2 linked regions of the Caenorhabditis elegans genome follow. The protein of the gene in region 2 interacts with the protein of the main gene of each other region in a pairwise test. Each region holds a gene or a part of one and is shown on either strand. Other genes may lie near its edges.

Region 1 (3,928 bases), on a different chromosome or scaffold from region 2:
GAATTTTTTTGCAGTGAATTGACGAGTTCATGTGTTTTTTCAAACACAAGTTGTTAGTGAAAATCTATGGAAATCGATAAAAATTCTGCATAAACGAGAATTTGAAATTACAGTACTCTTTTCAAAGGCGCACACCTTCTTTCATTTTACAAAAATTTGTCGTGCGAAAATCGAAAAAATTATAGTGTACCTGAATAAATCTCTCTAAAGCTCCTTTCTTAAGTAAAAAAAGAAGAGCAGGTTCTGGATGTTTCGCACTATGATCTTTAATTGAAACACTTTCAACTTGTGATAATGGAATTCCAATATTCAATGGTTCCTGGCTGTCATCAATCGAAAGTCGAATACGGAAGCAGATTTTTTCCTAAAAAAAATTAAATTTATTTGATCATTTTTAGAGTTTTTAAAACACAATAATGCTCGTCACGCAATAAATTTTCTACTTACAGCTGAATTGACTCGAAACGTCAGTGAAGAATTAGGGAGAAGTGGTAGAGGAACGTCACCGAGAAGAATTTGTTTCGGGTACATCTGAAAATAACTTTTAAAAGAATTTAGATTGACAGAAAATTAAATTCCTACATAATTTCTATACGTTGGATCCAGATTACGACATTGTTCAGTTATGAAAAATCGAATCCTTTCGTGGCGTTGCATTCTGAATTTATTTTCAAATTTGAGGTTTTTTACAATTTAAATTGTTTAATTTAATACTAAAATATTTCAACAAAAAAATCAAAAATAAAGAAAATGTGAGTACTCCCGCGCTATCTTTCGTTTGGGTGCAAATCGATAATTTCGTGTTGGAGCGCGTTTGCAACCAGTGTGTCTGTGATGGAAAGAATATTTCGACAATATTTATTATTCGTGAAAAAAAAGAAAATTGACCCAATTTTTTGTTGGTAGTTAAAACATGACCATCTAATTAAAAACAATATTTCGATAAGGCTTGAATCGGGGGCGATTATAACATCATCATTGTAAGGGGAAATTCTGCGAGAGAAACTAAAAAAAACGAGTAACCATAAGCGACTTCGGCTTTTTCAAATCACATGAGAGCAGAAAGTAAAGACGAGAGAAGGGGAAAGAGAGAGAGAGAGAGATAACGAAATGGAAATTCGTGATGCGGAAGGAGATTGGCGGAAGAGATTATCTATTGTGGTGGGTTTGGTGGTGGTGCTCCTCCATCGGCTCCGGGGCCGAATTGGCGTCGAAGATTTTCAATAAGTTCTGGATTGGTCTCTTGCATGCGAGCAGCCATTTGCTGGCCAGCAGCCATCAAATCAGCGATTGATCCATTTCCAGACATCATGTTGTTGAACTGAAAAATTCAATATTTTAGAGCATACATCATCAAAAAACAAGCAATAATAATGAAAAACAATTAATTTTGACGGCCACGTGCATTGCCATTTCAATTAAATCTTTTATTCCCGAAAATTTGATACTTACCATATCAGAAAGTGCTGGATCGCTCATCATCTGTGAAGCAGCTTGCATAAGTCCTGGCTCGTTCATAAGGTTTTGCATGTTTGGCATTCCTGGCATAGCCGGCATTCCTCCCGGTCCTCCTCCCATGGCTCCCAAAAGCCCAGCCAATGGATTGGCACCTGGTGCCGGTCGCGAGCTTTCCAGCTCCTTCAATTTGTCTTCAGCAATTTTCAAATTATTCTTGTAACTCTCTTGATTTGGTTCAAGCTCCAAAGCCTTCTTGTATGCCTCAGCGGCATGCTCATATCTGTTTTGGCAAGAATATGCAAGACCCATTCTTCCCCAAGCTTTTGAGTAAGATGGATCAAGGGCAAGAGCTGTACGACAATCTTGGATGGCCAAATCATATTGTTCCAGGCGGCAATAAGCAGCAGCGCGGTTACAGAAGTAGACTGGATCTCTGTTGAGCTTGATGGCGGCATTGTACTTTTGAACAGCAGCTTCAAATTGGGAGGCTTTCATTAAATCGTTTCCTTCTTCTTTAAGCTTGTTAGCTTGAGAAATATCACTATCGCTCGGTGTTGGAAGAGCAGATTCTCCCTCTGGAAGTCCTTCGGCGCTCTTGAAAAGTTCGAGAATTGGGCGTGATGGTTGGAAAGCGTATGAGGCATCATCAAGACCAAACGAGTGTTCGAGACATTGAATTGCAACTGAAATTTTAATATATCTTAAGCTAAATTTATAGAAATAAATAGGAAAAAACCTTCAAGAGCTTCCGCTTGCTCGGCAGTGGCCTGATTTTGTGAAACCTTCTGGCGGATAAACTGAAGGAATGAGACAACCAAATTTTGCTCGTCTCTGGTCACAATTGGCGAAGCAGTCGGCGCATCTGGAGCAGAAGGCTTGATCTCCTCGGACATTTTCTTAAAAATAAAAATATATTTATTAAATAATTTTATATTGAAGTTAGAAAAGTAATATAAAGTTGAATTGAAAATCCATGATAAAGCGCAGATTAAAATATTCTTAAAAATATATAGTTCAAGAAATAGAAAATGGCATCGCTTAAAAATGGCATTCCGTGATTATTTTCACTCGGGAATCGCTCGCCCACTATGGGGGAGTCTACGCAAGGACAACGCAAGGACAAGGACAACATTCTAATGGAATGGAAACGATTGCCCGACTGCACCAATTCTAGTTCGAGCGAACAATGATAACTTTTGTATTCTATATTCCTTCACGTCTCCCAGCGAGCGTAATAAATTATTATTATTATTAAAAAAAAAGAGTATTAATTTTAAATGCTTAACTTAAAATCTGAATTTAAGCGCTCTATTTGCGAAATTTGGTCAATGAAGAGTGAAATATTGTAACGAGAATAAAATTGAAAAGTTTTTGAACAACGAAGAGTAAAATTAAAGATTGCAACGTCATTTTATTTCAGAATCAGTGCAAAAATTTCTGGAAATTGCGGGAATAATTTCATCAGCCTCAAAGGCACATGTCGGCCGTCACTTTGATGTGTCTCGCCACGAAAGTAAACCAAGTTCAACTGAAGAGACGGCAGACAACTTGACAGAAAAGTTGCAGCAGCGCGTAGAGTGTATTGTAAAGTTGAGAGAGTGCTAGAGAAAAAAAAAGAAGCGAGAAGCTGACTGGTGGCCCCAGGTCTCCTTCCAAAAGCCACTCATTTCCCTCTGTCGACACCCGTCAACTTAAATTTTTTGGGGCCAGAGACGTCTGGGTACCAAAAGTTTTATTTCAAGCTTGTTTTATTCGTTTTTGTTTCAAAAAAAAAGTGTGATAGTCAGGAGAACGCTGCTGTGAAATTTGTTGTTTCTGTAAAAAATGAAAAAAACAAATTGAAATCAAGCAAATTTTAATTTATTTGTTCGCAAAGTCCTTTTTCACTATGTTCCAAGCTTTCTTTTACCCAAATTTTCCGTTCGAAATGTGTTTTTTAAATGAAAACTTGTTCAAATTTGCGGAATTTTGAAAATACTTGTATTTGAATAATATTTACCCAGCCATTCTGCCTGTCATTCTTATTTTATACTGTTCAACTCCTCCCAAACTTTCACTATCTGTTTCCTAAATAAATAAAACTATATAAAATTTCGCACATTTTCAGTAATTAAACTGTCACTCTTATCATCTTCTTCGTCTTCCACCATTCTACAACATGTCTCAATCGGAAGAACAGAACAAAGACATTCCATCATCTTCAAATTTTGGAAACCCAGCAAATAATGGCGTTAATGTGCCAGATGCTCCTGCGCGACGACTCTTCGATAACACTTCTGACGAATCTGATGTTTCACTGGATAATGATGGTAAGAATTCGAATTTTTCATTCAGATTGAATAAAAATCAATAATTTATTTTTTTCAGACAAAACCGGGGCTGAAACTGACGGTTCCTCTTCAAGTCGTGGATGTCTGAAGAGCGAGAGATCTCGCAAAGATCATGCCAGCACGTCATCAACAAGAACTGT
Region 2 (4,885 bases):
ATTAACCTAGAGGCCAATTTTATTGAAATTGCAATTTCAGTCAACACCATTATGTTTCACACCGCCAAGCGTTCGACATGGAAGATGAGACAAAAGTATTGGTGATCACACTTTGGACGTCACACGAGCACAGCGAGCTTTGCGGAGAAATTTTCGATAGGGAGCGGTTCCGAAGCATTTATGACAACAACGATCAGTAATAATAGTTGATAGTACACAATAAATTTGTCATTGTTGTTATAATATGATACAGGCATATTGAAAAGACACGTGGTGTCAGAGTGTCTCATTTCGGTTTGATCTACGTAGATCCACAAAAATGCGGGAGTTGAGACGCATGCTTTTCAACTGATTTCGCATGGTTAAGCACGTGTTGACGTCACATTTTTTGAGAAAAAAATCACGCATTTTTTGTAGATCAAACCGTAATGGGACATCCTGGCACCACGTGAAAAGAGACTTCTAAAGCGGAAGGGCAAGTTTGTTCCTGGAACTTTTAAGAAAACTGAGGTAGAAAGCTGAGATTAAATTTAGGTCTAAGCCTAAGCCTAAAGATGAAACTTGAGCTTACGCCGTTACACTAGCCTAGCTCAATCATATGCCTGCCTTAAGTGAAACAAGGTGAGAGGCCTGAGCATAGCCCACAAGCATAAGCCTTATCCTAGTTCAACGTTGTAATCTTATTTCTAAACATGTGCCTACGCTTTAGAGAAAATGTAAAATCTGAAAACTTTAAACCAAATCAAATAACAATCTAAAATGTTTTTTTTTCGAATGTTGTTTCCATTAAACAATGTGAGGTAATTTATTAACATGAGAGGTACTTTGTTGTAATAAAAAAAACTTAAATCATCAAATCTCTAGGCACGGAGGGCATGTTGGAGAGTATGCCCCATTGGGATACTGGCACAGAAACTGGATCCTTTCATCGCACACTTGGGAAAACCACTTTCCAGTCGAAATGAGCATAGTTCCGCAGTGCCGATCTTCAAGTGGCTGTCCTGGTCCCCAATTGGAGAATCGCATTGGGCTCCCGTCAATCCAAGTCCAATTGGTGTAGTGGGCAGCGTCGCTGGCTCCGATCCAAAAAGAGTTGTAGTCGGCGTCGAGGTGGTTTACCGCCAGTTCTGGAAAAATGTTAAACATTTTTATGAAGAAGGAGGTACTCATTGGTAGCCAAGGATCGGGCAAACTATAGTCAGACTTCTGTCAAATTTCGATGCTAACTGTGGACATGGCATTAGTGATAGAAAGCGGTAAGAATCAGTTAGCAAAGCTCGTTCAAAGAAAATATCTAGCTATTTTTACATTTTCTACGCTTGGAAGTTAAAATGTTTCGATTTTCTTCATGATAGATTTTGCATGCGATGTTAATCTATCTTGATTAAGTTGCTGGAGCTAGAATATGTCTGTCTATACCATTCCTAGCTAGCTTCACCCGCCATTAGACCATGTAGTTCCCGTCTAATTTACAAATCTCACTTTGCATCCAATTGTTATCGATAATATTCGTGATTTTTACCAGACTCCCTCCAAACATCTTTACACACAAATCGTTGGCATCCTTGAACTTTCCATGAACACGGTTGAACGAGTAGCAGCTGGAACTCTCCAATTCAGTTTTCTGTCCCACAAAACTCTTTTCACTTACGAATCTCCAAATCCAACATCTCCCGGAACACAGTCCGGCGCGACAGAGCACACTAGACAGACAATGATAAATAAGCGAAGCATAATTTTGAACCTTCCTCAGCGGAGAAACTCATCTTATCAGCTTCTATTTATATGTGTTTGTAGAAACCGCGCCTCTTCCCGTAGTGATTACTTATCACAAAAATTTTAATCATCCATATTTCATAATTTCATGAGTTTTGTAACAAATTGGTGCATGAACAAGATAGTCTGGTTGTTCGAGGCATTGAAATTTCAAATTCCACCACCCTTCTTTGAATTAATTTATTCTTGATTGTCATAGCATCTCTTTTTATTATCAATCAAGAAACGATAATGTGAGATTTTTGGAAATATTGGAGAGATTCAGGTAATACGATAGTTTTCTGTATGTCAAGAGTTAATAGTGCCAGAGATCAAAACACTATCGGAAATAGTGTGGGGTTCGACGAGACGATGAGTTCACTCTTCCAAATGTAGTCCTCATCGAAGCTTCGTAAAAATAGTATAGGGAAATGAGAGTTTATTACTATGAGATAAGTTTTCAGATATATCTGTGGTTTTCACGATGAAAGAGACAATAAGAAAACAGGAGGCGAAAGATGTGAGCTCCCTCCAAATGTAGTTTTCAGGTTAGTGATAATAAAGAAAGACATCGAGAGATTATCATATATTTTTTAGTTATCTCTCACGAGAAAAGACAAGCTCTGTAGTGCAGGTTTGTAAGAGGAGAAGAAGAGCGGAGATATAGTAAGAATGGCTTGTCATGAGCAGGTTTATTAGTTAATAAAGTAATTTACAGAAAAGCAGTTTGTTGGGGGCAAACAGCGAACACGTGACAACGGGTTAAAAGTAAAGGAAAAAGGCCTCGAATGAGCGAAACCGCTCCTTTTATAGGGGAAAAGGGAGGGGGAGAGAACATTCGAGAACGATGACAATTAGAGTTGGCGCCGGCAATTCAGATCCGCGCGCCGTCCGGTGGAGCGCACTTGCAGCGTGCATTGATGAACGTTGGCAAGTCTAGTCGTTGTCTTTGGCAGCGGTTCTGGCCGGATAACCGTGATGTTACCCGCTACGGCAGCACTTGCTGGACCTGTAAGACAATAATAAATGTGGGGAATTGTACCGAGCATGGGGAGACGCGGAAACTCTTACACCTCCCCCCTTTCTTTCAGGACCGTCCCTGGTCCTCAAAAGTATAAGGTTCTTTAGGTAGGCTGTGTTAACAGGCCCTAAGAGTTTCTGCCGTCTAACCATGAGAAACTTTTATAAAACTTAGTGCTTACGTACTAATACCTTACTAGGGAATGACCAGAATAAATGGAGCGATATTCAAAAAAAAAATATTGTATCGGAAAGCTGACATTCTCTACTATAAGAATATGACTGAAATTTTTGCCCGTTCGAGCTGGAAATCTGAAATTTTTACGTCTGAAATTCTACACTGAAATCAGTGCATTTCCTATGGTTAACAGTGGATTTTTGTCTCTGGCGCCAACAGAAGTCTCACCACAATGGTGGAAGGGCGAAAACATCGGTTCGGTGGTCGAGTGGTGAACGCGTTCGCCTCTTGAGCAGAAGTTTGTGTGTTCGGTTCCCATACATGGTTTAACTTTTGGCCTTTTTTATACAAAATTTTCAGAACGGGAAACAAGTATTTAGAACATTTTTTTGAGGGTTTTACATAATTTTTTTGCTTTTTAATTGAACCATAATTACCCTGGAAACTTTTCAGAAATTTTAATTTTTTTCGAAAATTGTCACTTTTTTCTCCACCAAACCCATGAGAAAATTTGATCGAAAAATTTTTTTTTGAAATTTTTTTAAAAATGCATGAAATATTTTAGAGTGTCACAAATAACCTATTTTTCATTATTTTCAATGACCGAATCATTGATTCTGATGCCTTATCAAGACGTTTTACCAAATCGATATTGGCAAAACATCTTGTTTTTGAGGCTCCATATCTCTGCAGGAAAAAATCGCACTAAAAAGTGATCAACTAGAAACTTGTTAAACACAATGTGATCTAAAACATTTCAGTTGAACACTTTTTTGTAAAAAATTTCGTTGCCGAGTTGGAACCAATTGATTTGAGCTTCATTATTTTTGAATATTCTAAATAGTTAAAGATCTATATCTTGGCAACGAAATTTTTTACAAAAAAGTGTTCAACTGAAAAGTTTTAGATTACATTGTGTTTAACAAGTTTTCAGTTAATCACTTTTTAGTGCGATTTTTTCCTGCAGAGATATGGAGCCTCAAAAACAAGATGTTTTGCCAATATCGATTTGGTAAAACTTTATTTTAATTTTTTTTTTTCATATTATTGTTTTTATATTGGGTCAAAACGTATTTGCTCTGCTAAATAGTTAGCTGGCGCTAATTTTTAATTTTATTATTTTCGTATTTTGATAAATTTCACTGAAATTGTCCCTTTAATAGTTTACATTCTATTGGTTTTCTTTTATTCAATGTCTTTTGATATCGGAAACGTGATGTTTGCCTTGCATCGTCATTTTCCCAATCCCCTCCCATCAAATCCCTCGATTTCGAGACATGAGCAGAAGGTGGCAGATCATTTGGCAAGCATTATAAAGGAATCTTATTATGGAGATACCAGTGTGGAAGAATCCGAATATTTGGTTCAAGAAGAATATGGCGATTGGGAGCCAGAAGTTTTTGAGGTATGTTGGTTTCGACACTATTAATTGTCATTTAAAAAACCTTTCAGCCGTATGACTGTGTGTTGCCGGATCAAGATGATGTATTGTTCGGTGAGAAAGCTGTATCAAGGGAAAAGTTGGATAAAGCGATCACCTTCTACCGTAGCGGAAAAATTGGAAGTAGGCCGATAACGACTATGCACCATAGTTATCGCTGGATACGAACCGATGCTCATATGAACAAACTGCGCAAGTACGAGAAAGATAAAAAAGCGTTCCAAGAAAGCGTGCGGGTTCGTTTGGCACAGCTTACACAACGGCTTTATGAGGAGGTCAAGGAGAAACTTGATAATGGTAACGAACATTAATATAACAAGTTTTAATATAAATATTTCAGGAGTCAATTTGCATGATTCTGATTTGATGGCTATGGCACTGGAAATCAACACCCGCGAAATGAAGTTGCAAAACTTCAAAGCGTCACAATCCTGGATAACCCGATGGAAGCAAAGCCACAGGTATGTAATAAATTGCGGAGTATGTTAGAT

The links. Proteins that work in one complex are often made in the same cells at the same time.
Region 1: the proteins of Y38H6C.8 (region 2) and sgt-1 interact in a two-hybrid assay, tested with the Caenorhabditis elegans proteins (2 studies listed by BioGRID).

What each region holds. Positions count from the first base shown.
Region 1 is NC_003280.10:4,901,443-4,905,370, forward strand, and holds sgt-1 (SGTA homodimerization domain-containing protein), read right to left. Parts: upstream 2,355-3,928; 5' UTR 2,352-2,354; coding exon 2,195-2,351; intron 2,142-2,194; coding exon 1,453-2,141; intron 1,322-1,452; coding exon 1,154-1,321; 3' UTR 846-1,153; downstream 1-845. Other genes in the region: R05F9.9 (MSP domain-containing protein), read right to left, coding at 191-364, 448-531, 583-657; btbd-10 (BTB domain-containing protein), read left to right, coding at 3,617-3,767, 3,826-3,928.
Region 2 is NC_003283.11:20,511,615-20,516,499, reverse strand, and holds Y38H6C.8 (C-type lectin domain-containing protein), read right to left. Parts: upstream 2,540-4,885; 5' UTR 1,735-2,539; coding exon 1,652-1,734; intron 1,602-1,651; coding exon 1,483-1,601; intron 1,128-1,482; coding exon 853-1,127; 3' UTR 768-852; downstream 1-767.